4 linked regions of the Elephas maximus indicus genome follow. The protein of the gene in region 1 interacts with the protein of each later gene in a pairwise test. Links are inferred from orthologs where the notes say so. Each region holds a gene or a part of one and is shown in the gene's direction. Other genes may lie near its edges.

Region 1 (7,543 bases):
AACCACACTGGGAAGCTCTCTAGCAAACCCCCAGTAGAACACCACCCCATACCCAGAGAAGTTTCCCAAGACCCTCCTAGCCCCTCAGTCTCCCAGGACCCCCTCAGAAACTCTTGAGGATTCTCAAATGCCCATAGCTGCCCTCAAACTGCTGAGGTTCTCTCTACCCCTCAAAATGCCTCCCAGTCTCCTGAGTGTCCTAAGATGCCCCCCAAACTCCTCAAATGCTCTCCTTCCAAGCCTCTGCTCAGCCTCCCACCCCTCACTTTGTTCCCCTAGGTATGCCCTGATGTCCCGTTGCTGGGAGTTAAACCCCCGGGACCGGCCGAGTTTTGCAGAACTGCGGGAGGACCTGGAGAACACGCTGAAGGCCCTGCCCCCTGCTCAGGAGCCAGATGAAATCCTCTACGTCAACATGGATGAGGGTGGGGGTCATCCTGAACTCCTTGGAGCTGCTGGAGGAGCTGACCCCCCAACCCAGCCTGATCCTAAGGATTCCTGCAGCTGTCTCACTGCAGTCGAGGTCCATCCAGCTGGACGCTATGTCCTCTGCCCTTCCACAGCCCCCGGTCCCACCCTGCCTGCCGACAGGGGCTCCCCAGCACTCCCAGGGCAGGAGGATGGAGCCTGAGACAACCTTCCACCCGAGACTCCCTCTCAGGACCCAAGCTAGGCACTGCCACTGGGGGACCCCCTCCCCCGACTTTCCCACCCCAGGCCTTTCCTCTGACTGCACCCTCTTCTCCGGCCCACTTCACCTCCATCCCAGACACATTCTTCTCCTCTGGGTTTTGGCATTCCCATTTGTAAAAGGAAGTCATTGGGCTGCAGCCCTTAAGGGTCCTCCCAGGTCTAACATTCCAAGATTCTGGATTCTAAGGTCCAAAGAGTCTAGATTCAAAGGTTCTAGATTTCAAAGATGCTACGAGTCTTTGGTTCTAAAGACCTGAAATTCCAGTCTCCAATTCTAAAGTTCTGAGGTTCTACACATGGAGATCGGAAGGCCTAATGTTCTAAGGCTCTGAGATTCTATGGCTATAGATTTTCTTGTTCTAAGATTCTTGATAAGACACCAAGATTTTAGGTTCTAAAGAGCTGAGACTCAAGTTCTAAGATCTAAGGCTGTGGTTTAGATTTTATTTTTCTAGGATTCTGAGTTCTTAGAGTATAAGATTCTAGATTCTATAATTCTAGACATGAAGGTTCTAAGGTCTAATATTCTAAGACTTGATGTTCTAATACTCTTAGAGTCTAGATCCTCTGGCTGTAAGACTCTAGACCATAAGTCTTCAAGATTTTCTACTGTCCATTTCTAATAGTCTAATGGTGGTCCATTCTAGGTTGTAAGGCTTTATGATCCTGGATTGTCTTGTTAAGAGATTCTGGAACCTAAGGGTCTAAGATTCTAAAATCTGCAATTCAGAAGTTTGAAGAGTCTAAACATGGAGGTTCTAAGATCTAATATTCGAAGATGTGATGTTCTAAGAACCTAGATTCTCTGTGTCTAAGGTTCTAGATCATATGCTTCAAGATTCTAGATTATTAAACTCAAAAGATTCTAATGTTGGTCTGTTCTATTCCAAGGTACTCTAGATTCTACTGTTCCAGAATTATGGATTCTAAGCATCTAAAGTTCTAAGAATCTCACAGTTGTAAGTTTCTAAGATTCTAGAATCCAAAGTTCTAATCATTTTTAATGTTGGATACCTCTAGGTTCTATGCTACATTCTGTCTTTCTAGGATTTTAGTTCTTAAGCATTCAAGAAGCCATATTTCTAGAATTTTAAGATTCTAGGCACGGTAGTTCTAAGACACGAATGTTCTAAATTTCTAAGATCCTATAAAGGTCCACAGGTCTAGACTATTAGTACAATTCCAAGGTTCTAATCTTAGTGTTCTTCTGTGTGCCTGTTCCCTCCTGAACCACCTTTGCTTCCTCCTCCCTACATGTGGGGGTGTGCCCCCCTCAAGCCTGTGCAATGCATTAGGGATACCTCCTTTCCCCCAGGGGACAATCTCTCCCCTTTTGGGCCATGCTGCCCCCCTGAGCCAGTCCCTCATCCCCTCTGTATAGAGTGTGGACTCTGGTGCCTCTGGGGCTCAGGTCACATAAATCTTTGTAACCACGCCTCTGTCTCCTCTTGTCTCCATTCAGCTGTGATGTGGCCCCTTTCCCTGTCAGGACAACTCAATTTCCCCATCAATAAAAAGAAGGGTCTGGTGGGGTCTCAGAGTCACTAAGAGGGTAGATATGAACGTACGTATAGACAAAAAGACAAACACAGAATCTCTGAAATCCCCAGCGAGGTACAGGCATATCGATACAGGGTCACACAGAGACCCCCATTGTAACCAAATCCATTGCTATCCAGTCGATTCCAATTCATAGCGACCCTACGGGACAGAGTAGAACTGCCCTGTAGGGTTTTCAAGGAGTGGGTGGTCAATTCCAACTGCCGGCCTTTATGGTTAGCGGCCAAGTTCTTAACCACTGCCCCACCAGGGCTCTGATCCAATGTACCAAAACAAATGAATTAATGGACATACTCAGGCACACCTGGTCACAAATACAGACACTGAAATTCAGAGGCACATAAAATAACAGACGCACAAAGTTAACACAGGTCCAAACATATCTACAATCACGCACAGGCAGATACTCACCAGGAATAGGGAAAAACTTAAGAGTAACACAGATACACACAGAGTTAACAGACACGAAGGCTGACAAGTAGCACAAATACTCAGAGATACATAGGGTGCAACTGGTCTTCACAGACCCAAACGTTCAAACTCATATAGAAAAGGCACAGGGCAATTCCGATAACCAGGAGCCCAAAAAGAGACTCCCGCCAAGACAAGCCCACTGTGTCTTGCAACACTCTTGCGGGCACACGTTCCTGGGTGTGTCCTGCGGCTGACGGACCTATTGGCAGCGCCCGGACGCCCCCCAGTGGCGGATCCTGAGAACTGGGAACAGTTCAATCCGGGCCATAAACTTTTAGAACAAATCATTGTGGAAAGCTGGGAGGAGAGAGGAAGTCGGACGTGGGCGAGGGGCGGGGTGTCTGGACTGGAACCTCCGGACCCACGTGAGTGTCTGCCCCGCTTCTGAGTGGGCGCCGTGTGTCTAGGTTGCTGGAAGTTTGTAATGTTTTGTGTGTCTTTGTCATTTGATGCCGCCCGTTTTGGGTTTTTTGTTGGTCTGTGCAGACATTACAGGGCACATCGACACTGCAGTTTGGTGTATTATGCCCTGGATTGATGCATCTGATGTAACTCACTTGTGTTTGACGCCTTTGTCAAAGTTGAGGCTGTGTGCTGCTTTTGTGGAATTAAGGTGTGCCTCAGTGGGCACTGGGCGGTTGCATTGTGTATCTCGATTGTGTATTTTACTGACGTTTTGTGTCTGAGTTAGAGGCGACAGGTGGTGCAGCGGAGTAGACATTGTGAAACTTCGTAGCGTTTGTTTATCAATGTGCGGCTTAATTACGGATTTGTGTTTTAGCTTGTCAGTTCTAGTCGCCAAACAGCCAGATTAACTGAACGGGAGTTTAGAGGATTTGGGGTAAAACAGCCAAGAACTTCTGGAGGTCTCTGCGGAGGGGAAGGCTCCATGGTCGGGTGCAGAGCGCCCATTCCACTGAGGTGCCAGCCACGGAGAAGGCGGCCGCGAAGCCGTCGAGGAAAAAGGCACCCTGTGAGATGTACTGTCAAAGGGGAGGGGCCTTTACGACTTTTCACCCATTCATCTCGCCTCTCCTTTCCAACCTTCAGGACTCTCTGAAGTCAAAATGTTGTTTTTCATAAAGGCGACTGAGTTTATACCAGATTAAGAATAATTTATCTACTTCATCTCTTTTGCGTATACCTTTCTCCACGGCCGGACTCTCGAAGCCAGCCTCTGAAGAGCGGCCAATCCGATTAGCTGTTCCTAAAGCGATCCGATTATACGAGCTTTAGTAAGATAAAAGGGTAACTGCGATTGGTGGATAAATTGTTTTGAAACCGCCCTAACGGCAAGGGGCGGGCCCTGCGTTACTTAATCTCGTTCCGGTTTCTTAAAGGCAACAGAGGAAAAAGGGGTATCTGCCAACCCTCCGTTTGATTGGTTCTAGTGGTTTTACCCGCTTGGTCTCTTCAAGGGGCGGGAGATTTAGACCAATAAAAATGTATGTTACGGAGACATTAGTTTAATTGAAGGGACTGCACAGGAAAGTCTGTGGGGCGCTCATTCTGAGATCTCATCTCTGATTGGGCCAAGTCCTTACTCCCTTTCCCTCATTTGACCCTACGGGAGCTGGCGCGCGGGCGCTGCCCAATCAGCGCGTGCTCCGCCTCCCGCTTTTTCCCGCCCTCCGCTTCAGTCGCGGCATCGACGTAGACCAACGCTTCCTCCCCGGCAGATCCTGGTCCTTTTATTGCCGTTCTTTTGAAAGCCACCCTCTGATTGGCTAAATATCCAGGCCCGCGCCCATCGCCCCCACGTGGTGGCCAATCAGGACCTGTGTTGCATCGCACCGGGGCCACGGGTGAGGAGGAGGCGGCGGCCATTTTGAGCCGCCGCCGCCATTGGAGTGGGCCCCCCCCCTTCCCCCTTCGCCTCCTGACAGGAAAGGTTTAAAGGGGGACAGAGCCCTGGGAGGCCGGTCCGGGCTCGGGGGCCGCCCCGGGGGCCCGGGCCATGGATGTGCGCCGTCTGAAGGTGAACGAACTTCGCGAGGAGCTGCAGCGCCGCGGCCTGGACACTCGCGGCCTTAAGGCCGACCTAGCTGAGCGGCTGCAGGCGGCGTTGGAGGCCGAGGAGCCCGACGACGAACCGGGGCGACCTGGGCACAACAACGAGGAGGTCGAGACCGAGGGGGGCTCCGAGCTGGAGGGGACCGCACAGCCACCGCCGCCCGGGCTGCAGCCGCACCCGGAGCCCGGCGGCTACTCGGGGCCGGACGGACATTGTGAGAGTGCGCGGGGCGGGGGCCGGGGAGCCCGGAGTCCGGGCCAAGGAAGGGCTGTGGGGAGCGGGAGTCCGGCGCCTGAGTCCGGGGAGATGGTCTAAGGATGGGGAGGAATCCCGCGACCTGTCGCTGAAAAATATCTAGGGACAAGGGCCTCGGGGTGACTGGAGAGTAGATCTTGGCATTCGCCGTAGGGGAGATAGTGGAAGTGGGGGACTCTCTGTTTCGGAGATTAGGAGGATCGGGGGTGTAGTGAATTCCCCAGCGCAGGTCATGGACACCGGAAACCGTGGTTTCTGGAGTCGGAAAGAGTCCGAAAAATAAAAGATATTCTGCGTGGGGGGCTGAGGAGGGTCGTGGAAATGCTGATCACAGGGGGCTGTACTAGCGCAGCGCAAGGGGCTGGGGATCGGGAGCCTTGTTTCCAGGACTGGGGAAGAAATAATCAGTTATCCGGGCCTGGAAGTTTGAGGATGGAGGCTCCTGGAGTTTGCGACTGGGTGGGATACTGGGAATTCTCTTTGAGGCTGGGGTGGGTTGGAGAGATGGAGTTCTTGGTGTCTGTGGTTGGGGAGGGGTCTGATGGACTGGGGACTCTGGTGTTTGGCTGGAGAACGTTTAGGGGATATGGGAGATCAGCATCTCTCTGAGGATGGTCTTGGGGATTCTAGAATCCAGGGTTTGAAGGCCAACCTTGAGGCAGGGTAACCTGGGCATTTGGTGCTGGGAGATCTGGGACCCTCAGGTTGTCCTCCCTCGGAGGAAGCATAGGGGACCTTGTTTACTGGCCAATGGGGAAAGGAGGATGCTCCACTGGGCAGAGGACCTGGGGATCTAGAGGTGGGAAGGCTCTAAGGATAAGAGAACTCAGTGGCTACTGCTGAGTAGCCTGCGGTTAATAGTGTGAAGTGTTTAGGGGAGCAGGAGTACCCGGGGGTGGAGTTTGAAGTCAGTGGAGTATCTGGAGAACAAGACTCTTAATTAGCACGGACGAATGTGTAGCATATGTCTGAATAGAGAAGAATGTAGAATGTGAAAAGAGAAGGAAAACCTGTTGACTTGACTGGGGGTATGGGGGGAGGGCCCCAGGGTGTAATGGGGGAGTGTTTCTGGGGCTGAGCACTTATCTCCAAGAGAGGGCACTTGGTCCACAGAGGCAGTTATTTGTGTGCCAGGGAGGGAGAAGGGGGGAGTAACTGAGCATCAGCCAGGAGGTGGGTGATTGGGAAGGAGAGGGGATAGGACAGATCTTGGTGCCCAGGGCTGGGGTTGTCTGAGGAGAGGAGACCCTATTGCGGGAGGGAATGAATCTGGAGTTAGAAAAGGGCAGCTTTCTAGCAGGACTGGGATGTAGGGGGTTGTAGAGTTTAACGAGTAAGTAGAAAGAACTCTGGTGTCCAGGGTTTGTGGTTTTTGTTTGAGAAGAGGGCATCCTGGGGCTTGGGGCTACAGGAGTAAGGGGAGAAAAAACTGATTATGGAAGAGATGAGATTTGAGGTTGGCACTGGGTATTCGTTCATGAGTAATGGGGCAACAGTGTAGGTTTGGGGGTAGGACGGCTCAGGATTGTCCAGGACCCAGGGTGCTGGGAAGAGGGTGTTGTGGACCTGCAGAGGAAAAAGGAGTTGCCTGGTGTGCGTGTGTAGGGAATGCCTAGGAAGAAGGGGCCACAGTAGGGAATGCCTAGGAAGAAGGGGCCACAGGCAGTCCAGACCTGGATGTCTGGCTAGAGGTGTCACTGAGAGGAAGGTGAGTTCAGTGCTTCAGAGCATAGACCCAGGCAGACATGGCCCCATGACTTGGACAAGCCACCTCATATCTGTGAGCCCTGGTTTCTTCCTGTGTAAAATGGGGTAATAATAGTGCCCCATCAGGATTGTCATTAATGAGGTCCCATGAATGGAGGGCTTAGTACTGGGCTTGCCTGCTATTAGAGGGGAGACGGATCCCAGAGTCGTAGCTTCTGCTCCTGGCAAGGCTGCCTCTGAACACAGGAGAGATGCTTAGGAAGAGAGACACAGGCTCTGTGGGGAGAAGAGCACTCTGCCTGCAGCCTGGAAGGGGCAGAATGGTCTGAAAGGGCCCCTGTGTTCCACTTCAGAAGATTCTATTTCTTTCTGTCTCCCCACCAGCAAAATCCTCTGAGCCCCGTTCACGTTCCACCCAAACCCTTTCTTCAGCCCTGGTAAACAGACCTGTAGCAAACCATGTGACTTTTCTCCCTTTGGGCTGTACCTGGTTTGGGCCCAGATGTACTTGTTCTCTGAGGAAGGATCTAGTCAGTTAGCGGGTGGCACGGTAGTCTCTCCTTCCCTGTGGATTTGCCTCACGGCTCCTGGCACAGCCACTAGCAGGGCCCTGAAGGCACCTAGCAGAGAGCTTGCCCCTGGGGTACACAGCCTGGTGCTGCCCATCCTCGGCTTCTAAAGTTCTCTCTGGGTTTGCCTGTAAGGTTTCTTCCTTGAGGGAGTTTCTGGTTTGGTACTCTGGATTTAGTCCCGCCCCTGGGCTTTCACCTGTGTGACCCCAGTCCCAGGCAAGTTCTCCATCCTCATCACTGAGCTGTCACCTGTGTAGCCTTTGCGTCG
Region 2 (7,343 bases), on another chromosome or scaffold:
TACAAGCTAGAGTAGCAAGGAAGCAATGGTCTGTTAGTCAAATTTTTATTACTTCCCTGTTCCCAACGCATCAGTGCTTCCCACTGACTATATATTTATAAGGATAATAATCAACATAAAACAGAATCCCCACTTTTCACTTCTCTGCCACCTGTGTTCTGACATCAGCTGCCCATGCAGCACTTCTTCCTCCAACCCTAACCACCCAGAGCTAGGTCAGACCTCACAAGTTAACGGACACAGTCCTCAAGACTGCCAAGGCTGCCCAAGACATCAAATGCCAGCCCCAGCTCCCCAGGGCTCCCATCACTTCTGACCTGCTGGCTACAAATCCGGGGGTGCCCTTTATACCCTCAGGATACCAGCCATAAGCTCAGGCATTCTCAGCCCCTTCACTTCTGACCTGCTGGCTCCCACTACTCCCTTGGGCTTGAGAATTCGATGGAACGATTCACAGCAAGCACTATACCATGATCCCAACTTTATTACAAAGAATACAAATCAGGATCGGCACAAAGAAAAGACACATAAAGGGAGGCCTAGGAAGGTCTCCAATGCGAAGCTTCCATGTCCCGAGAAGGGACTAGTTACCCCCCACTTTCATTAACCGGAAAGCCCACGGAACTTCAGTGGCCACAGCCTTTGTCAGGGTTCATTGAAACGGCCGTCTCCCTTGAGGTCAGCTGATACCACAAAGTGGTCGTTCTGGTTTGGCAATCCCCTCACTTGAGTCACACATTAGCATAAACTCTCAGGTGTGGTCTGAAGGCCTATCAACAACGACCCAAACAATACCAAATCCACTGCAGTGGAGTCAATTCCAACTCATAGTGAGACCCTATAAGACAGAGTTGAACTGCCCCATAGGATTTCCAATGCTGTAAATCTTTCCTGAAGCCAACTGCCATATCTTTCTCCCTCATAGTGTCTGGTGGGTGCGAACCAGTGACCTTTTGGATAGCAGGTGAGGGCTTTAGCCACTTGCCGCCATGGCTCCTACAGATAAAAACAGCACTTCAATTTCTCAGAAATTCCAAGGGTTTAGAGTTATTGCTCAGGAAACAACAACAACAAAAAAAACAAACCCAGTGCTGTCAATTCCGACTCTCAGCGACCCTACAGGACAGAGTAGACCTGCCCCACATCCTCCAAGGAGTGCCTGGCGGATCCGAACTGACGACCCTTTGGTTAGCAGCCGTAGCACTTAACCACTACGCCACCAGGGTTTCCTATTGCTCAGGAATCAAGGATAAAGACCAAAATTACTTTAAGTTAGTGTGGAAGGAGCTCTGGTGGTGCAGTGGTTAAAGTGCTTAGCTACTAACTAACAGGTTAGTGTCTCAAACCCAGCAGCTGCTTCAAAGGAGAAAGATATGACAGGCTGCCTCCATAAAGATGACAGCCTTGGAAACCCTGTGGGACAGTTCTCCACTGTCCAATAGGGTCACTGTGAGCCAGAATAGACACGATGGCAATAAGTTTTTGGTTTAAAGTTAAGGTGGAGCCCCTGGCTAGAGGTTCGAGTCCACTCAAAAGCAGTGCAGAAGAAAGGCCTGGCGATCTTCTTCCAAAAAATCGGCCATTGAAAACCCTACGGAGCACACTACTCTGGCACACGTGGGGTCACCATGAGTCAGTTAATATAAATAAACCCCAAAATACTGTTTCCAAAATTTCTTAAAATTTGAAATATTTCTTCATTCAAAAACTGTATTATAGTAAGTTAAAAATCACATCACTGGTTTATCTGTAATCTTTTATCCAAAAACAACTAAATAGGGCAAAATGACAACACTTTGAAAAATTGTTACAATATTATCTGTAACTTTCCCTATGTGTTAAGTATTCCATCATTTTCAAAAAGTTAGTTACTTAGAGAGAGAGACAGTTGGAGACGGAAAACTGCAAGCCGCCCCAACCCCCAGCACATCTTGATCCACATGAAGTTTTCTGACGGTCCTGAGGGTCTGCAGAGGTAAAGGCATCCAACGGTTAATAATGGGAAAACTCATGATTGGACCAAAACGCTGAAGACTTGGAATAGAGACAGAGCTAGACCTCGAGTCACTAACGTCCAACTCATTTCACTAATGTGCATGCCAAGACTCCAGTCTCTAGCCCAGCCTGCCTGGGAAATGCGCAAGGGAACGGTCCCCAACTTGACCAACGTTACCCAGTCCACCGCGGTCTGCTCTTGTGCAAAGCAACCAGCTCAAGCAAATACCCATCAAGCACGGGGAGTGCCGTAACCCCTCTTTCACTATTTGACACACATGAAAGTGCTGTTTGGCTGTTCCCTCTGAATGAACTGTAATTAATCCAAGGGTCCAGCCTTCATGCTGATGCACTCCGTGAATAAGCACTGGTGCTGCTTTCAAAACCAAAACCCACTGCCATCAAGTTGACTCCAACTCACAGCCATCCTAAACAGAGTAGGACTGCCCCATGGGGTTCCCAAGGGTGTAAATCTTTACAGAAGCAGACTGCCACAACTTTCTCCTGAGGAGCAGTTGGTAGGTTTGAACTGACAACCTTTTGGTTAGCAGCTGAGTGCTTTAACCACTGCACCACCAAGGGGCAGGCAGTGCTGCTTCAGAGGAGCATTTTTCTGTGTTGGTCCAGAAAGTTAACCAGACCATGCTATGACTGCTAAACCTGCCTGCTTCCTATCTGCAAAATGAAAGCTGAAATGGGATAAAACCCTGGAAAATTTATTACAACTTCTGACTCCATTAGGCAGGGATCTTATCCCTCGCCACTGCCTAATAGAGCACCTGGTCTTAAGGAGCGATATTTCCTTTGGACGGGGCCTATACTGTAACTGGACAATTCAATTTGCTTTCTCATTTCCTTCATTCTCTCAGATGGGAAAGGGAGGCAGAGAAGGGCTTTGTTTATGAGCCAGCCTTAAAGTCCCGTCTCTTTGTGGGACCTAGAGTGTGCCTTTCTGCAACATGTGCTGTGAAGGGAGTCTTTCTGGGGTTTCTTATTAAGAATACCTATTTAATTTTTGAGGAGCCCTAGTGGTGCAGTGGTTAGAGCTTGGTTGCTAACCAAACGGTCAGTAGTTCAAATCCACCACTCTTCAGAAACCCTATAGGGCAGTTCTACTTTCTCCTATAAGGTCACTATGAGTCAGAATTATACCTCAAATTAATTTCCTCCTCACATCTGCACCTCCTCTGACACCTGCATTTTCTATTATTTTTTTCCCTGGAGCCAGCTTCTTTTTTAACTGCACTCCTTTCTTCATTATGGCCATCCACTCATAATATGACACAATTCCAAGCACTCCCTTAATTTTTTCCTGTAAATCTGCTTACCCTGTTGATAAATACCTTATATCTTCCCTTTATGAAGGCAGTTCCAAAAGTGGAACCTGTCAAGAAAATCGGAAACCCTGGTGGCGAAGTGGTTAAGTGCTATGGCTACTAACCAAAAGGTCAGCAGTTCAAATCCACCAGGTGCTTCTTGGAAGCTCTATGGGGCAGTTCTACTCTGTCCTATAGGGTCGCTATGAGCCGGAATTACACCTCAAATTATTTAATTTTCCGGCTATGAGTCGGAATCGACTCAACGGCAACGGGTTTTCTCGATCAAGACAATCTGCTTCACTGCCTCAGGCAGAGTAGCCATTAACCACTCAGTCCATCGGCTCCGGGGCTCTGTGATTCCGAGCCACGGGACACGTGGGCAACGTCTGTCAGACTGACTAATCCGGCTTTAAAACCTAGCACTCAAAGACGCCTTTACTACGCCTCAGGTGTTCTGTCTCCTCTCTCAGCAAAACTTATTTTCTTCTCTCACGCGTCTATTCACTGCAGGGCTCCTTTGGGCTCTTTTTTTTGTTTTCATCGGGGATAATTTTTAACCTAGTCCGTATCCTCCAGGGCTTCGGCAGTGACCAGTGGGCCACTTCCCTCCCCTGAGTAGGGCCTGGCCCGTCCCGCTACGCCTCTCCCCACAACGTCCCTGCTCCGGGCGGCCGCTTTCCGGAGTGGCTCCCCCGAGGCCTCGGCCCCAGCAGGCCAATCGCTAGCTCCGCTCTGGGCGCGTCACAATGGCGCGCTGGCGGCCCCAGCCCCGCCCAGCTCCCAGGAGGCCTCGCGAGCGGAATAGCCCGCTAAACCCCGGTCGCGCGCGGAAGGAGAGCGGGTCGAGTCCACAGGGAGGGGGCAGAGCCAAGGAGCACCGTCCAGGTCATTGGACCAGAGTGCCTCAGCGTCTCTCGTCTCCGCCGGCATCAGCCCCGCCCCACGCCCGCACGGCCAATCGCCTGCTCCGCTACGGGAACGTCACAATGGCGCCCTCGAGGCCCCGCCCCCTAGATGCCCGCCCCGGAGGCCCCGCCCCGCCTTGGTCCTTTCCTTCTTCCGGCTCCGCGGTGGAACCAGGACTGCGTCGCGTCTTACGAGAGCTGAAGGTGGGGATCAGCGAGGGGGACGAGTCCGCGGTCTCGCCAGCAGTCGGCAGACGGGCGAGGGTGCAGACTTCCAGGGCTGCCGCTCTCAGGAGCCTAGGGTGTGGGGCCGAGCAGGGGCCGGAGACGCCGATGGTATCGGGGCCTCCCGGAAGCCGCGGGTGCGCACGACGCGGCGGGAGTTGTAAGCTCGTGCCCGCCCGCGCGCTTGGCCCCGCCCCCTGGGGGGGCGTCCGGGCGCGCTCGCAGGGGTTTCCATGGTGATGGTAAACAAGCCTCAACTGCCTCTGGTACAACTGCCAAGTCCACCGCGTTCCACCCTTTTCTAGGTACTCAGGCAGGACGAGGGAAGTGCCGGATGTGAAGAGCGAGAGCGTGGAGTCTCCGAGCCCGAGGTGAGGGGCGACCTGGGGCGGGACAGGGTGGGGGGCCCGAGGTCAGGGCGCTCACCCGGGGGCGGGGAACTGGGAGAATTGGGCGTGGGGGCTGCGGAGCCGAGATTAGGCGTGGGGGCGGGGTCTGAGGTCAAGGGCGCACACCCGGGGACGGGGCGGCAGGGACGGGCCAGCAAGGGGTGGGGACTGTGGGGGATTTAGCAATCGGTAGGCGGGGTCCATGGGCCCGGCGGGAAGGGCTTGAGTTCGCGGCGGAGAGCAGAGAGTGTGCGGAAGGCTCCGGTAAGGCCGCGGCTGGCGGAGCGGACTGGAAGGGTGAGTAGCCAGGCCCGCCACTTGTGGGGTGCGGAGCCGTAGTCGGGGAAGGAGTTCGTTCTTCTGAGGCAGGCAGCACATGATGGGGGTTCAAGTGTACGACTTCACTGTGGGAAACGGCAGCTCCGCCCTCCTCCCCAGCTCTCGCTCTCCCGGGAACCATTTTCAGCCCTTGGAGACTTTTTTCCAGAGCCTTCTCTCCTCAGGGGCCCCGCTCTGGGCCCTTCCGTCTCTGCGTGTCTCGCTGTTCCGTGGAGGCACCGTTTTTCGGATGTAAATCTTTGGTGCTTGTCTTTTGCCTCGTGAGCGCAGTTTTGGTGAGAGTTCAGTCAGCTCCTTGTTTCTCCTTTACTTGGTATCTTTGAACGTACTTTCTGCTAAGAGACTCGCGGACGCCGCAGCCCGCGCTCTGGTCGCCCTTCCCGCCTCAGTTGAGCGCAGAGCGGTCTCCTCGCGTCTCCACTTCCGTTTCCTCGTCCCGCTCCCTCCCCGCCGGGACAGTGGCTGCCGAGCCGGCCTGCGGGACCCTGGGCCTGGCGCCTCCCTTCATGCGAGTCCGTTTGCTATAACAGACGCGGGTGCTGATGAGCATGATGGCGCCGGCCGCCCCCGCCCCCACCCGACCCGACCCCCGCCCCCGCCCCGGCGCCCGGCCCGCCCGCGGACGCGCGGTTTTCGCGGCCTGGAGCCACGCGGGGAGCGGGCTCGGGGACGGCCCCACTCTAGGCCTCGCTCCTGGTCCTTTCGGGAGGCCCCGGGCCGGCGCAGCCGCTCGGAGGAGCCGCCTGGCCCCGGAGCCTGGCTCCCGCCGGAAGAGGCGGCCGCGCCGTCTGGTGGGGGAGGGGCAGGGCGCCCGGCCGCGCCGTCTCCCTCGTGGCGCCCTCCGTCCGCATGACTTCTGGGGGCGCCTCGGCCGGCCGGTGCGCGAGTAACTCGGCCGCGGGAGGGCCGGGCGGGTTCGCTCCTCTAGTTTCCGCAGCTGCTTGCGGGGCTCTGGGGCTCCTGGCGGCTGCTTGGACTCTGAGGGCGGGAGGGCCTGCGGCTCGTGGCCGACCGAGGTGGGACCGCCCGGGGTGGCCCGGCCTGGACGGGGCCGCAACCTGCTGGCGCGGGGAGAGTTGCGAAAACTACAGATGACCTTTTATAAAAAAAAAAAAACACCGAAACTGATTGTAATATATTTTCAGTGCGTGTTTTTGAAAGTTTTTAGTAAGTGAAAATATTCCCGGCTCTTCGGTTAGACAAAAGATATGATGTATCAGTGAAAAGTGATACTTACGGTGCTCATTTTTAGACAAAATTTTTTTCATTTCAAGATAAGGAGTAGGTTTATTTTAATCAGTATTGGGAGAGATTAATTACTGACATTAAATCCATGCTTCGCTTTGAGCATCTTTTATTCTTGTATACCCAGTGCATATTTATAAATTGAACGTATTGTTTATATGTTGTAATCTATTTTTTTCTTTGATAATCTTTACTTTTTTGTTCCTTTTTTTTTTAAGCTTCCAAGTAACTTTTTCTTTCAGTTAAGGCTAGTATTAAAAGCTTTCCTTTAAACATAAAATATTCAAGTAAAACTATGAACTGATTTAAGGGAAGGAGTAAATGGGAGGGTTTCCCCTCGCGTGTGGCCAAACCGTGAAGGAAAGAAAGGCTCAAGACTCGATCCTCTCGGGGTAGGTGCCTGGAGGGGCTATGGGGACAGGAGGAGACTTCAGTGTCTAGCCTGTCCTCAGTGGCTGCCCCTAGTGGAGATAAGGCCCCGGCGTCGGAGGCGGTGACATCGCGCCAACCCCTCCCCCATCACCTGAGCTGTGGCGCTGTACTCTTTCTAGAACCACGTTAACTGACGCTTACTAGGCCTAGGCACTCAGCTGTAGGTTTAACCGCATTTTCTAATACTCATACAATGTAAGCGAGGTACGCTGTTAAAACGGCGGCTGGGAGAAAAGTTATTTGCCCAGGGACACAGTTGGGACAAGGACTCAGGTTGGCCTAACAGGGCTTCCTTTCCCCGGTGACAGCTGCCCTGAGCCTGGCTCTTTTTGATGGGCAGGTAGAGATTAGGGCCCAGCCTAGTTTATTTTACATTTTAATTTATAAATATTTGAGCTTGTACTTCTAAGGATTTTTAAAAACAACCACATTAAAACAACTGCTTAGTATCAAATACCCAGTGTTCAGATGTCACTGATTGTGTAATGTTTTTA
Region 3 (7,554 bases), on another chromosome or scaffold:
CTTAGTCCCTCTTTATTGTTTTAATGTTGTCTTCTTTTATATAATGACATCTCTGTTACCCTGTTTTGAGCTTTTTTAATTTAAATCTTGCTTTGTTTTTTGGATTTCCCTGTCTGGGTTGACTTCTGATTGCTCTGCCCAGTGTTCTAGTCTTGGTTTTATACCTGATATTATTGATTTACTAACCAAAAAACTCCCTTTAGTATTTCTTGTAGTTTTGGTTTGGTTTTTATGAATTTCCTAAACTTCTACCTATCTGGAAATGTCCTAATTGCATCTTCATACTTAAGAGACAGTTTTGCTGGATGTATGATTCTCAGCAGGCAATTTTTTTCCTTCAATTTTTTAAATAAGTCATCCCATTGCCTTCTTGCCTGCATGGTTTCTGTCGAGTAGTCTGAGCTTATTCTTATTGGCTCTCCTTTGTAGGTGACTTTTTGTTTATCCCTAGCTGCTCTTAAAATTCTCCCTTTGTCTTTGGTATTGGGTAGTTTGATTATTTCTTGGTGACATTATTTTAACATCTACCTTAAGTGGAGTTCAATGAGCATCTTGGATAGATATCTTCTCATTTTTCACAATATCAGGGAAGATTTCTGTCAACAAATCTTCAAGAACTCCCTCCATGTTTTCTGTTATCCCTCCCTGTTCTGGTACTCCAATCACTCGTAGGTTATTTCTCTTGATAGAGTCCCACATGATTCTTAAGGTTTCTTCATTTTTTTAAACTCTTTTATCTGATTTTTCTTCAAATATATTAGTGCCAAGTGATTTATCTTCAAATTCAGAAATTCTGGCTTCTCCTTGCTCAATTCTGCTCATCTGACTTTCTATTGAGTTGTCTACTTCTGTAATTTTATTGTTAATCTTCTGAATTTCTGATTGCTGTCTGTCTGTGGATTTTTCCAGCTGATTGAATTTTTCATCATGTCCCTGAATAATCTTTCTAATTTCTTCAATTGCTTTATCTGTGTGTTCCTTGGCTTGTTCTGCATATTGCCTCATTTTCTTTCTGATGTCTTGAAGGATTCTGTATATTAATCTTTTGTATTCTGCCTCTGCTAATTCTACGAATGCACTTTCACCTAGAAGACCCCTTGATTCTTTGTTTTGAGGGCTTGTTGAGGTGATCATGGTCTGTTTCTTTATGTGACTTGATATTGACTGTTGTCTCCAAGCCATCTATAAGTTATTGTATTAGTTTATGCTTGCTTGCTATGTTGTAGCTTCTTGCTTTGTTTTGTTTTGATATGCCCAAATGGGTTGCTTGAGTGAGCTAGCTTGATTATTTTTGCCTTTGGAGCTCTGACATCCTGTCCCCAGATGGCTAGAGCTGTTATCACATATATCAGCCTAGGAGTCCATTCACTTTTCTTGTATGAATTCAGCTTAGGTGTCCAGGTAGCTGATCATCAAATATGTGGTACAGGCTCTGTCCTACAGTCTTAGAGGGACAGGGGTGATTGGTGTAGGTACTAGTATCTGATTGCAGCAGGGGGTCACACTCTGAACAAGGCAGGGAGTTGAGAACTGACCCCCGAATGTCTCTGAGGAAAGCATGTCCCTGTTCTCTAGAGTGTGCAGGTGGCTGGGTTCTGCAGGTGGACCATGGGCACCTAATGTTTTTGGTTGTAAGGACTGGGAGGTACCAGTTATCCTTGGGCTCCTGTCACGGGTGGCTTGGTGACCTGAGTGGAGCTACGAGTCCTTAGGCCCCTGATGTGGGTAGATGAGGACCCTGTTTAATAGGAAAAGCAATGTGAAACATCAAACACCCACTTCTGCACCACACAGCTGAAATGGTTGGAGTCTGCCAATAAGGGCCTATTCTCCTGAAATAGGCCAACACAGGTCCATGCACAGGGGAAATGTGCTCAAAGTCTACAGACTGTTTATGCCTGGACAGGAGCTGCTTCTGTCTTGAGCTCCCCTGGTTAGTGATGCTGGCAAATTATCTTCTCCCCCAAATGCAAATTTTTTCCTTCTCCAAGGCCAGGAGGATGGCTCTAGGTGTTCAACAACGTGTATCTCAGGCCCTGGGAATTCAACTGCTGAAGCTGGCTTAGGGGTGGGGGTGGGGTACAGTAAAATACATGCAAGTACTTAGCTTTTGCCAAGAGCGCTGTTCTTCTCAGGTTCTGGAGGTATGAGTAGGCTGTGTGGCTGGCTGCTTCTTCCTGAGGAAACTGCGGCCAAATGCTAGTACCGGCCTGCCTCTGCGGCTCTGGGAATGGTGCCTAAGGGCTCCCTTTGATTCAGGTCCGGTAACTCCTCTCCGCTTCTGAACTGTCTCTTCCTCCCCCTGCCCCTCTGTTCATTTTCTAAGCTTGCCTTTGATGACCAGTGCTTCTAGCTTGTCATAAATATACTCGTTTCACTTGTTTTTTCGGTTGTTTGTAGTAAAGAGGGCTTGCTGGAAGAGTCTGTCTATTCCACCATCTTGGCTGTGCTTCGCTTCATCCCTTTTTCATGACTACATAGTGCTTTCTGCTGGTTACCAATAACATATATGCTAGACTGTTTTCCATATAATCGCTTATATGCTCTGTTTTTTCAGTTCTTTTTTCTCTTTGTGCTATGGTTTGGATATAATTTTTAGATCTGTTTTTAGGTTGATTGTGCTTGACCTTCTGCATATCCCTTCTGCTGTTAAAGCTATTCAATGTGTTCATCATTTTAGATACTGTATTATTTTCAATTCCTTAAAAATTTTAGCATATCAGTTTTCATTTTTTTAAACTCCTTGTCTCATAACTCCAGGATCTGGATCATTTATGTTGTTTTGTTAAGTGCCATCAAGTTGGTTCTGACTCACAGCGACCTCATATACACTAGAACGAAACACTGCTTGGTTCTGCACCATCCTCATGATGGTTGCTCTTTGAGCTCATTGTTGCAGCCACTGTGTCAATCCATCTCTGTAAAGGTCTTCCTCTTTTTTGCTGGCCTTCTACTTTATCAAGCATGATCCCTCCTGATAACATGTCCAAAGTATGTAAGATGAAGTCTTGCCATTCTCTCATCTAAGGAGCTTTCTGACTATACTTCTTCCAAGACAGATTTGTTTGTTCTTCTGGTAGTCCATGGTATATTCAATATTCTTCGCCAACGCAATTCAGAGACATCAATTCATCTTCAGTCTTCCTTATTCATTGTCCAGCTTTCACATGCATATGAGATGATTGAAAACACCATGGCTTGAGTGAGTTTGAGACCCATCTTAGTCCTCATCTATAGTTCTACTTTACATTTTTCCCTCTTGATTATATGCCATGTTTCCTGCCTCCTCACATGTCTAGTCATTTTTATTGTACTTTGGACTTTGTTCATAAAAGGACCATACCAGTTTCACATGGGATCTTCTACCAGTGAGGAAGCTCCCTTACCCCTTAATTAGGTTGCTTAAAGGGCTGATGACTTAAATCCAATCAGTGTTTAAGCTGAAAGGGGTTGAGTTATAGCCCCAGTGAGACACAGTCCACTTCCAGTTCTCCATTCTCCCACGGTAGTTCCCAGGCTCTGGATTGAGAGCATCCTTAGCCCCCTCTACCCTGAATTAGAGAAGACTGAGTCCCGCCTTAAATTAGCTCTTTAGCTTCTCATTTGATGCAACTACAGTATTTAGCAAATGTCTTGAGGGGGATACTGTCTGTTGCAAATTCTCTCTGTAGCACTGGAGACTGGGGCCCACTTCACTCTGCTTTTCAGGCCCCCCCCCCGCCCCCCCGCCATTTGCTCCAGAACTCAGCCAAATGTCTCGGCCTTGCTTTTGGGACTCTTATTTCCAATCTATCAAGCCAGCTCATATGGCATCAAAAGCTCCTCTGGGGATGGAGGGGGATCCCTTGCCTCTCCCAGTTGAGTCCTTCTGCTTGGACCATGCCAGGTCCTCCAAGCCCAGAATCTGCAAATGCCTTGGGGATGAACAGTGCATGAGGTTGGAGTGAGCTCACTGAGGGGGGTGGGGGGAGGCCCCCTGGAATTTCAGCTTTTCTAGTGCTTGTTGTTACACAGCTCTCCAGTGTCCTTAAAACGGTTGTTCCCCGCATTTGCGGTGGAAGTGCAGCCGCTGGGTGCCACCCCACCTGGCCCTCTCCAAGCGCCTAGCGGACGCTGACCTTATCCTGGCTATTTTACTTTCAAGCCCAAACTTCCCCTTTGCGAAGCAAAAACCTAATCACTGTGCTTCCATTTTTCAACCGTAAAGAACGACTAACAGTCTACACTTCGCAGAGCGGTGGGGAGGTTAAGCGAACTAGTCCAGGTAGGGGACTCTGGCTCCATTTCCGTCGTCCATAACGGGCAGTTCCCTCAGCTCAGGAGGGTCTCTGCCCGCCCCTCCCGGGGCAGCCTGGCTCCCTCACCACCCCACAAGTCCACTCCTCTCCTGGGCCGCACGCCCACCACTGTCCGCATGGGGGCGGTGCTGGGCCCCGGGGCTCGCGCGGCCGCGGGAGGCGGTGCCCGCGGAGTGCGGCTGCGCGCGGGCGCCCGATCGGGGCGGGGCCTCCTCCTCCGAGAGCCTGCGCGCACTGCGCCTGCGCGGGCCGAGGGCGGTGGCTTGGCGCCTAGCGGGGACCATCGGCCTCTCAGGCCGGCGGTGCCAGCGGCGCTGAGCAGAGGAACCGGCTCAGGTAGGTCTCCTGGTTCTGCAGCGGGCGGCTGGACCGTGCGCTGAGGCACGACATTCCAGGTAAGGGGCCCTCGCCCCCAGCCGTGCCTCGGAGGGCGGGCCGGGTGCTGAGGAGGCTGCAGGACCGAGGCCTCCGCCCGCTTTTGGGGTCGGCAGGAAGGGTCGACAGGTCGGCGCCTTCCCGACGTCTCCTCGGCGCTCTGGCGACTGACGGCGAGCTCGGCCCTCCGCGCCCTGCACCTCCGGCACCGCACCCCTTCCGGACCCCGCCCCTCTGCTCCCCTTCCTCTGCATCACCCCCTTTCCTCTCCACTGCCACACTCCCTTTCCTGCATCATGCCCCCTCCTCTGCGCACATCTGCGCCACCCTGTCTTTCCTGTCTCCTCCCACCGCACCCCTTTCCCTCCCCCCTCTCCCCATCACACCCCTTTCCCTCCCGCTTTCTCCCCATCACGCCCCTTTCCTTCCCCCCTTCTGTCCCTCACGCCCCTTTCCCCCCGGTTTCTCCCCATCACACCCCTTTGCCTCCCCTTCTCCCTGTCACTCCCCTTTCTCTCCCCCTTCTCCCCCTCACGCCCCTTTCCCTCCCCCATCACCCCCTTTCCCTCCCCCCTTCTCTCTGTCACCCCCCTTTCCCCCGGCTTCTCCCCATCACAACCCTTTCCCTCCCCCTTCTCCCTGTCACTCCCCTTTCTCTCCCCCTTCTCCCCCTAATGCCCCTTTCCCTCCCCCCTTCTTCCCATCGCCCCTTCCCCCTTCTCTCTGTCGCTCCCCTTTGCCTCCCCCTTCTCCCCATCACGCCCCTTTCCCTCCCCTTCTCTCTGTCACTCCCCTCTCCCTCCCCCTTCTCCCCATCACAGCCCTTTCCCTCCCCCTTCTCCCGTCACTCCCCTTTCCTTCCCCGTTCTTCCCGTCACGCCCCTTCCTTCCCCCTTCTCCCCATCATGCCCCTTTCCCTCCCCCTTCTCCCCATCATGCCCTTTTCCCTTCAACTTCTCCCCACCATGCCTCTTTCCCTCCCCCCTTCTCCCCACCACCCCCCTTTCCTTTCTCCCTTCTCTCCATCACACCCACCTTCCCTCCACCTTCTCCATCCATCACCATCTGTCCACCTCTTCCCTCACCACACCCTGTCCTCATCCAGCCACTCTTCCTGACCTCACACCCCTCTCCCCGTCTCCTTTAGTCCCTTGTGCTTCCTGCACATCATTCCTGCTTCATCTTCCCTTTTCTCCTGACCTCTTATGACCCTGGTGGGGCAGTGGTTAAACATTTGGCTGTTAACCAAAAGGTTGGCAGTTGGAATCCACCAGCCACTCCTTGAAAACCCTATGGGGCAGTTCTGCTCGGACCTATAGCACGCTATGAGTCGGAATCTACTTGAAGGCAATGGGTTTTTCCCCCACTGAGCCTTAGATGAGCAGGAGCTGCCCTGACCTTGCTTGACCCCATCCTGGCCTTGTCCTGGCCCTGTCCTGGTCCTCCCCCATTCTGGCTGGGCTACTGCGCCACCCACCACATCCAGCTCTTTCCTGATTTTCTTCGGGCTGTATCATCCACATTTGCTTGGGTCGAGCGTGCCCTCTTCCTCCTCTGCCCAAATCCAACTTGTCCTTTAAGATCAAGGTCACATTTTACCATTTCTCTGAAATTTTCTTATCTTTTCCTCAAGACTCTTAGAATTCAAAGGAATTTATCAACTAACATAACCTTCAACCCTCTGCTGTTCCTTAATTTTTTATGTAATATAATTTCACTTTTTATGTGTTTATTTTTATATTCTGCTGAGTTGAAAGCTCCTCGTATTCAGTCAGGATTATGGCACAGAAACAAACAGTCCCAGAATCTCAGTAGCTTAAAGCAAGAAAGATCTTTCTCTCTCTGTGCCAGTTAAGACAGGCTATATTATCCTACAAAAACTTCCCCCAAATCACTGAGATCTGGTTTAGAAACAGCTGCAGTTTGCTCATCCAAGTTGGTTAAGCTGCAGTAACCAAAAATCAACAAAAGTTTGGGGCTTAACCTAGTTTTTTGTTGATGTCATGAGTCTGCAAGGATTGGCAGAGGCGCCCTGCTTGTGGTGGCTGTCAGCCTGGAACCATGCCGATGGACTTTTAATCTCTGCCTGGAAGTGTCCCTTTCTTCTGTTCCCCCTTCCTTGGCCACAGCAAATCCCAGCTGCAGAGCTTGGAGGGCAGCAGGCAGGTGCATGGCTGCCATGAGCCCGTTGAGCTCTGAGTACCTATGCAGGGTCCCAGTGCACTAAACGCCTGTTGATTCATTTTACCAGATGAGACCATGGGGGCAATCTCACTGGCAGTTCTCAATCCTTTTTTACAGTGTTGGAATGAAATATTTGGTAGAACCCCTGCACACAAATCAGGTAAAGTCTTGGCCCAGCCATCTCTTCAGGTTAGGGTCTGAAAACACAGGCCTTCAAGTTAGGGTGGGCTGGTTTTCAGCATAGGCTGAGGTGTGTGCCAGCCCTCTGTCCAGGTCTGTGCTGTTTGGTGGCCTGGGTGGTTCATCAGCTCCGATTCTTGTGTGTTTCATGTCAGGTTTGCTCTGTCATCCATGGTCCTGTACCATATTGGGAAAACATCACATTGCGCCCTGAGGACATTCATTGTATGGTCAATATGTCGCATCATATTTGAGGACCTAGTGAGGGCATGGAGTCCTGGTGGCATAGCAGTTAAGAGCTCAGTTTTTTAACTAAAAGGCCAGCAGTTCAAATCCACCAGCCACTCCTTGGAAACTCTCTGGGGGCAGCTCTGCTCTGTCCTGTAGGGTGCCTGTGAGTTGGCACTGGATTTGCAGCACCAGCTACAATAGTGAGGGCCTGGCACCTAAACACAAGGAGCCTAACGGGTGCATTGTTGAAAGAGCATTGATGCGAACGATAGGGCGTTATCCAATG
Region 4 (7,221 bases), on another chromosome or scaffold:
AGTTCTGAGCTCTTGCTAAACCTAAAAACCCAAACCCACTGCCATTGAGTTGATTCCGACTCATAATGACAGAGTAGAACTGTCCCATGGAATTGCCAAGGAGCAGCTGGTGGGTTCAAACTGCTAACCTTTTGTTTAGCAGCCAAGCTCATAACCACTGTGCCACCAGGGCTCTGAGCTCTTGGTGGAGGGAAACAAATACAGGATAAATAACTCTTGAGAGTTTTTCGTTGAAAGTCTGTAAACTAACCAAACCCACTGTCACTGAGTCAACTCCAACTCATCACGACCCTACAGGACCGGGTTTCCAAGGCTGTACGTAAATCTTTCCGGAAGCAGACCGCCACATCTTCTTCCCACGGAGTGGCTGGTCCATTTGAACTGCTGACATTTTCGTAAACAGCGAAGTGCTTAACCACTGGGCTCCTTCCGTAAACTAATGCACTCTACACACACTCAGGTCTAACTCTTTACTAGTCATTAACTTATGCAAGTACACCCAATGTGCCTTTTTTTTTGAACAGAAGTTGCTTATAAAGGGATCTGAACTTAAATATCTACAAAGTTCTGCTTAAAATGTTATCTTTGCTAAGTTTATCAGGTTTTTTTTTTTTTAATTCCTGGAATGCCTCCTCCGAAGACAACTAGAAAATTTTAAGTATCCCATGGATTTGAGTCACATATTTTTATCAGTCGCTGTCAAGTTGATTCCGACTCATGGCAACCCCGTGTGTGCATAGTAGAACTAGTCCAGCCTGTGATCTTTCAGAAGCAGACTATCAGGCTTGTCTTCCAAGATGTCCGTGGGTGGGCTTGAATTGGTAACCTTTCGGCTAGTAGTTGAGCACTTGACTGTTTGTGCCACCCAGGGACTCGAATCACATATGGTAATACTCAAAATGTACTTCCAAAATTTTATAATGGGTGTGTGTGTGTGTATACAGACATACATCTATAAATATAACATAATAAAAACTCATCACATATATACGCAAATCAAAGACTGAATCAAGGGCACAGACGAACATATTGGGCATTTTATCTAAAATTTTGTACAATTTAAGTATGTTTTGAAAAGCAGAAGTGGACCTTAAATCAAATTAAGTCCATACCTAACAGCCCAGTGTCTACACCATCTTCATTCTTCAGATTCTCAGCATGCAACTCTGTAAATACAAAGAGAGGGCTAGGTAAAGAATAAAGTTATTTCGTAATGTGAAGTAATCAAAGGCTTGGGTGACATTGTGAAGTTGTGCAAAGTACTCCAGAGTCAAAGAACTGGTTTCGAATTCTGATTCTACTTACTAGCTACGTGATCTTCAGGAATCAAGTAAGACTTACCTTATAAATGGGAAAGCTAATGTTTACTTCATAGGGTTGCTGTGAAAACAGTTTAATAGCAATTGCAGAGCATACCAGGTCTTACTTCAATTCCTTCCCCCATTCTTTAGTATAAAAACAGCTCAATGTTTTCTGCAATGAACTTCAATTTACAACAATTTTATGACTTTATGATGCAAAGGCAATCTTTCAGAGAAAAACAAAAGGTAGAGGTATCACCTGTTTCTCTAAAGTTTGCTTTACACCACTTCGCTTTTACAAAAGACCTACGCTAGTACCTGTTTTCACTAACAAAAAAAAAATCCAGAGGATTTTTGCTTTTACAAAAAGAGGCAAAAAGTGGAAACTGCCATCAGCCATTTGTTTTGCAGTGAGCCTTTAAAGATGCAATACACACCCTGAGCAGTCAGTGGCATTGCCAAGCTCCTTCCATGGGAACTATACTCAGCATCTCAGCATTGTATATCATTCCTGCTTTTACTGCCTGGTAGTGTTATTTGGTATGATTTGGTAGGTTAGTTTTGGGGCCTGAGAAATGCTCGAAAAATTTTCCCATATAAATTAATGTTAATGCTTCTTTGTTTCACGCCATTTCAGCTTAAGAAATGTTTCACAGGAACTCTCTACATTCAGATATCAAGGGAAGCCTGTACCTAGAAAACTGTCTCTTAGAATTGCTGTGAAAAAATAAGGGGAGAGGAGAAGGAGTGATAAAATAATAAAACATTGGCAGCCAAGTAATTCATATTCACAGTTTACCATCTCATGAAGAGGTAAAATTCACAAAGTAACTTGTCAGTCTATCTTCTTACAATCAAGCATTGTAAGCTGTTAGATGCTATCTGCTGCCCATTAGGAGCTGGGAAACAACGAGTAAAAAATAACTGTAGTTAAACAAATATACACTATTTAGTCAAATGAAACTGACACTTCAGAGATGTGTCGGGTGTGTTCTATACACAAAGTAAGGTAGTTCTTTTCGTTTTATATTTTTTTCCAATAATTTGGCCAAGGTCACATTCACTACTCAGAAATGATATTTAAACTCAGGTATGAATCCTTCTACTTTTATATGCAGTACCCAACCATATAATACATCTGTATCAGCCTCTGCAAAACCTTTCAAGGCACATCTATTTTTATTCCAATCTGGCCAATATTTCAACTTCAGGCACTACTAAAGGGGGGAAAAAAAACCCTACGGACGCTGCGGTAAAACTTTACTTACTACACCCAGCTACAAATATAACATAAAACTAAGAGAGACTAATTATTTTACCCGTCCAAGTACAAATTTGGGTTGTGGGCTAGAACTTCTTGTCCTCCAGGAATTCTGTGAGTGTACAGAGGGATCGGTGGATCAAAGCCACTGAACCTGTAGCCTTTTCAATTACACCCATTTTTCACCGTCTCCTTTTAATGATGGTGTTTCTGAAATTTGCTTTTCTCAATATTTCACCCCAAGTGGTCACTGATTTTAAGATATTAAATCTTCAGAAGTACCCATTTATCAAAGGAATCATTCTTAAAAAAGAGTCTGCTGATCACAGACCAGGGTCTTCCACCTTGGGAAAGAGAAGACAAAAGGAGAAGAGCAAAGAAAGGTGCAGACGACGACTCTGAATGAAAGAGGCTGCCAGCTTGCCGGTGAAAAGAGGGAGAGATGGAGGCGAGGGACGCGTCCAGGCCCAACTTCTGCTCTGGGCAGACTTTCAGGCCCGCGCTTCAGTACCTTTTACTATCAGGTAGGCGATGGCAAGAAGGAATGCGAGGAGGGCGGCGAATAGCAGCGAACAGAGCACAGAGAGGACCTGGACCGGCCACCGCCGAGCCGAGGCTCGTCCGCCCACAGTCGCTGGGAAGATGCCATTGCGCTTATCGGGCAGAACCGGTGAACCGTCCCCGTGCGGCGGTAGCAGCGAGCCCTTCCTGAGCTCCGACGACCCCCCAGCCGAGAACTCGGCTCGCAAGTCGCGGGCCACTTGGTCGCATCTCTCCTCCTCGTCGACTTCGCCCTCGCCCCAACCGTCCCCCTGAGAGAAGGCGGAGTACACCGGCCGAGGGAGTGGGGCCCGAGTGCCAAGTCGGCGGCGCCGCAAAGCCAAGACGCTCCCGCTCTCCACAAACGACATGGCGGGAAAGACCGTGAGGCCCGCGGAGGCGGAGCGGCTCCCACCCTGGGCCGTCAGCAGCCAATCAGCGCCCGGGCCCTATCCCGGCCTCGACCACCCGGCTCTGGCGTGCAGGGGTGCGTAGGAGTTCGCAGCTGGCGGGAAGCAAGCAGACGGGCCTCCTAAAGAGCCCGAACGCCCCTGGACCAGAGCCCGACCCAGGGTCTGGCAATGCGGAGGGAGAGAAGCAAAGCGCGGAGCGGCAGGCGAGCCGAGACCGAAGGTAGCCGAATGCCTGGCTCCTGCAGCGCTTCGTTCCGGCCGGAGACCTCAGCCACCGCCGCGTCACCTCTAGGCAGGCGCGCGCCCTGATAGCTCCAATGCCGCACCTTCCCGACACCCGGTCCTAGCGCCCGCCTATGCCGCTCCGATACACGTTCCCGAACCTATTTGCTCTTTCCCTTTTCTTTGCTTGCCTTCTTCCCTGATTTCCTCCTTAAGAGCAGCTCACCGCCACGCGCTCGTGTCTTGCCTTAACCGCCCATTCCTAACTCTCTTCCGCATCTTTTTTTCTCTGCCCCTACCACTCCTTCCCTCCACGCCCTCTACACGCCTCTACCTCTCTTCTGCCAGGGCGTGCGCTCTCCGATCTGTTACCTACCTCGAACTCTCTTCTTTTGGGCCCCTCCTCCCGTCTTCCCCGCCCCCTCCCTTCCTTGCCCCTCCCACTGTCTCGAGCACTGCGCGCGCGCCATCTGGCCGCAGCCACCGCTAACGCTAGAAGCTGCCTACCCCACCCCCACCCACCGTACCCCTGGCGGCTTCAGGTTTGTGGGGCGTACGTAACTTGGTTGGGGGCGGTGAAGGCGCCAGGCCCCCGCTGCCCACCCCCTATGGAGGAGTGCGGCCGTCCCAACTAGGGAAGCTGGGACACTGTTATCTTCTCTTCCCCGGGGGAAGTTGGTGAAGTTTTCCCGGCGGAGGATTCGGAGCAGAAACTTCCTCCGTCCCCCTCCCCCCCTCCATGCAGGCGACGTCGAGTGAGGCTGGGGGCGAATCGCCGCAGAGCTGCGTGCCGGCCGCGCACTCAGATTGGGCTTCGGGGAAGCCTGTCAGCTTATTGGCCCCGCTGATCCCGCCCCGAAGCGCAGCGCAGCCTTTAACCTTTGGCCCCGGCGGGCGCCAGCCACTCAGATCGCTTCTTGTTGGCATGTGTAGCGGCAGTGGCCGCCGGCGGAGCAGTCAGAGTCCGACGATGAGGCCGGGGACGGGAGCAGAGCGTGGAGGCCTCATGGTGAGTGAAATGGAGAGCCATCCTCCGTCGCGGGGTCCCGGGAACGGGGAGCGGAGATTGCCCGGCTCAAGCCTTTGCTCCAGCTCTTGGGTCTCTGCTGACGGCTTCCTGAGGAGCCGGCCCTCGGTAAGGGATCGGTGGGGAAGGGGGAAAGTGGCACAATGAAAAACGGAGTCAGAGAGACAGGAAGCTTTCTCAAAGAGGAGAAGAGTGGACGGAGGAAGCGCTCGAGATGGTGGGATATGTTCCGATGGAGAGAAATGGGGGGCGGGGACGCACAAAGGGAAGGATGTGGGACCCTGGAAGTTCCCGGTGGGCTTGGCGTAGGCAGAGGCGTGGTGGAGATGCTGGGCCCTGGGCGGGGTAAGCGTCTAGGAGAGGTAGGCCTGATTTAGCAGGAAGAGGGAGGCGGAAACTTGGTTTTGTAGACTTTAAAAGAGGCTGCCAAAATTTGTTTTCACTAGTAGTGGGGGTGTCTGCAGTGGGAGCATTGGCAGGAAATTTACTTGGTTTTAAGACCTGGAACAATGGACACTTAGGTGAAGTGTTGTCTTTTTAAAGAGCATTAAAGTTGCATTTTTTCCGGAAGAATTTTACCTGTCTTAAAAGTTGTGTTAGGAAAGAATATGTTTATTTGTTAGGAGTGAAGTGTCCCTAGGTACCTATCTGTCTTTTCTAAGACCAGTTCTCATCTGAGTTAATTTGGTAAATTTAGCGTTTTAAAGTCATTTAAGTAACGTGTTTTAAAAAAAGCGTTATAAAATAGCAATAGATGGTTCTCTTTTGTATCTGTGAAATATGACAAAGTTGTGGCTTTCACCATGAGAGTTTAAAGTAGTTATTACATAAATTTCGTTCAAGTTTGGCAAGCCAGTTAGTAACTGATTAAATCAGTTTTTCTTTTTAAATTGATCTAGATGTTCAATGATGGTTTCAAGTTATATTCAGGAATATGGCAGTTGCAAGCTTGTTATAAACACTGTAGTGCATTTTTTGTTAATATAGGACAAGAGAGTATAAACTATCTGCGTAATTCAATCACACATTACTTTAATATTAGCCACTGCAGAGAACTCATTTGAGATTTTTGAGAAGCTCTTTCTGTTACTTGCTGATGTTTAGTTTTCATTATTTTTCAGATGGGACACCCTGGCATGCACTATGCCCCCATGGGAATGCACCCTATGGGTCAGAGAGCGAATATGCCACCTGTACCTCATGGAATGATGCCACAAATGATGCCCCCTATGGGAGGGCCACCAATGGGACAAGTAAGAATATTTTTGTATTTTTGTTTTGTTTTCCATTTATTTTTGTCTTCTAGTATTGTGTCAAGATGAAGTCTGGGTAAATAGTTATAGCTGTTTAAGGATTAGTTTATGTCAAAATAATGTTTTCAGATACAGCAAATGTTGGATCATGACTAACCAAATTTTGAATGTATCAAAAGTCTTCTGTACGAAAAACTTATTTCCTACCTCAACAAAACTAAGAGTTTCTTTTTTTTTTTTTTTTAAATTAACAAGGTACATTTAGGCTTTTTAGTTTAATGACTTTTTTTTAAGGATGTCAATTTAACTGAACGCTCTAAGAATAAGTATTATCTGATATGTCACATAACTTATATTGGTGGGCCATAAAAGATGAATACAAAGGATCTGAAAATAGGAATTGCTTAAGCCATTAACTGAGAATGAGTTCTATATTTTATTCCTGAAATATCTTCTTCTTTTGTGTGTATGTTGGAGGCGGGGCTGATGAGGTTCCTACTTCATAATTCTGATTTTTCATAGGATGCTGTCAAATAGGTAGCTCATTTTCCATTTATACTATTTTGTTTAAGCAAAATTTGTATTGCTTCTGCACTACTGCTTCTGAGCCGTCCCTTCCATCTCGAGCATGAATTGTAAATAGACATTTTGTAGGAGTGATTTAGATCAAAAGGTTTTAAGGCTTACTCAGTGGCTGATAGAACTGAATTCCTAGGAGAGCATTCAAGAAAGTTAACAGGTTAAGTTACTATGGATAATTTCATGTTTTCTGTATTAAGTCCTATAATACACAGGTCCTTTAGGTGGCTGGGTTATTTCCATTTGAGTATCTTGATAAATCATCAGAAATTTAGGCTAACAAAATATTTTGAAAAAAACCAGTCGATTTGATTTGATCTTTTGATAATTAGTACTGTTTTCTTTGATAATAATTTAAGTCACGATGGTTAAAGTTAATAGTGCAATTGCAGTGGACGAAAGGAGCTTGCTCTGTGTCTCTTTCTATTTAACCGTAAGAATAGAAGGGCTTAACGTCAAGTGGTTTTCTTCTTTTTTATTTGGAATATAGCCCTTAATTTTGTATAAAAATCTTTATTCAAAGGCACAGGCCCAAAAGATTCTGCCTGTAGGTGTTCTTTAAATAAAAGAACTGTTTATTCTGTGACTGTAGAGTAACATAAAATTTAAAATTCCCTATATGATG

Evidence for each region.
Region 2: the proteins of HNRNPUL1 (region 1) and HNRNPF interact in a two-hybrid assay, tested with the Homo sapiens proteins (3 studies listed by BioGRID and IntAct). The link is inferred for Elephas maximus indicus from reciprocal best matches to the Homo sapiens genes HNRNPUL1 and HNRNPF.
Region 3: the proteins of HNRNPUL1 (region 1) and PRMT2 interact in a two-hybrid assay, tested with the Homo sapiens proteins (2 studies listed by BioGRID and IntAct). The link is inferred for Elephas maximus indicus from reciprocal best matches to the Homo sapiens genes HNRNPUL1 and PRMT2.
Region 4: the proteins of HNRNPUL1 (region 1) and PRPF40A interact in a two-hybrid assay, tested with the Homo sapiens proteins (2 studies listed by BioGRID and IntAct). The link is inferred for Elephas maximus indicus from reciprocal best matches to the Homo sapiens genes HNRNPUL1 and PRPF40A.

The regions. Positions count from the first base shown.
Region 1 is NC_064829.1:109,911,898-109,919,440, reverse strand, and holds the start of HNRNPUL1 (heterogeneous nuclear ribonucleoprotein U-like protein 1), read left to right. Parts: upstream 1-4,525; 5' UTR 4,526-4,684; coding exon 4,685-4,955; intron 4,956-7,543. Other genes in the region: AXL (tyrosine-protein kinase receptor UFO), read left to right, coding at 280-631.
Region 2 is NC_064834.1:6,681,081-6,688,423, forward strand, and holds the start of HNRNPF (heterogeneous nuclear ribonucleoprotein F), read left to right. Parts: upstream 1-4,338; 5' UTR 4,339-4,423; intron 4,424-4,749; 5' UTR 4,750-4,815; intron 4,816-5,033; exon of another isoform or gene 5,034-5,130; intron 5,131-7,343.
Region 3 is NC_064820.1:232,067,823-232,075,376, forward strand, and holds the start of PRMT2 (protein arginine N-methyltransferase 2), read left to right. Parts: upstream 1-4,538; 5' UTR 4,539-4,634; exon of another isoform or gene 4,635-4,693; intron 4,694-7,554. UniProt on the Homo sapiens protein: Arginine methyltransferase that methylates the guanidino nitrogens of arginyl residues in proteins such as STAT3, FBL, histone H4. Acts as a coactivator (with NCOA2) of the androgen receptor (AR)-mediated transactivation.
Region 4 is NC_064824.1:49,938,633-49,945,853, reverse strand, and holds the start of PRPF40A (pre-mRNA-processing factor 40 homolog A), read left to right. Parts: upstream 1-4,220; 5' UTR 4,221-4,476; coding exon 4,477-4,872; intron 4,873-5,885; coding exon 5,886-6,017; intron 6,018-7,221. Other genes in the region: ARL6IP6 (ADP-ribosylation factor-like protein 6-interacting protein 6), read right to left, coding at 1,113-1,166, 3,074-3,473.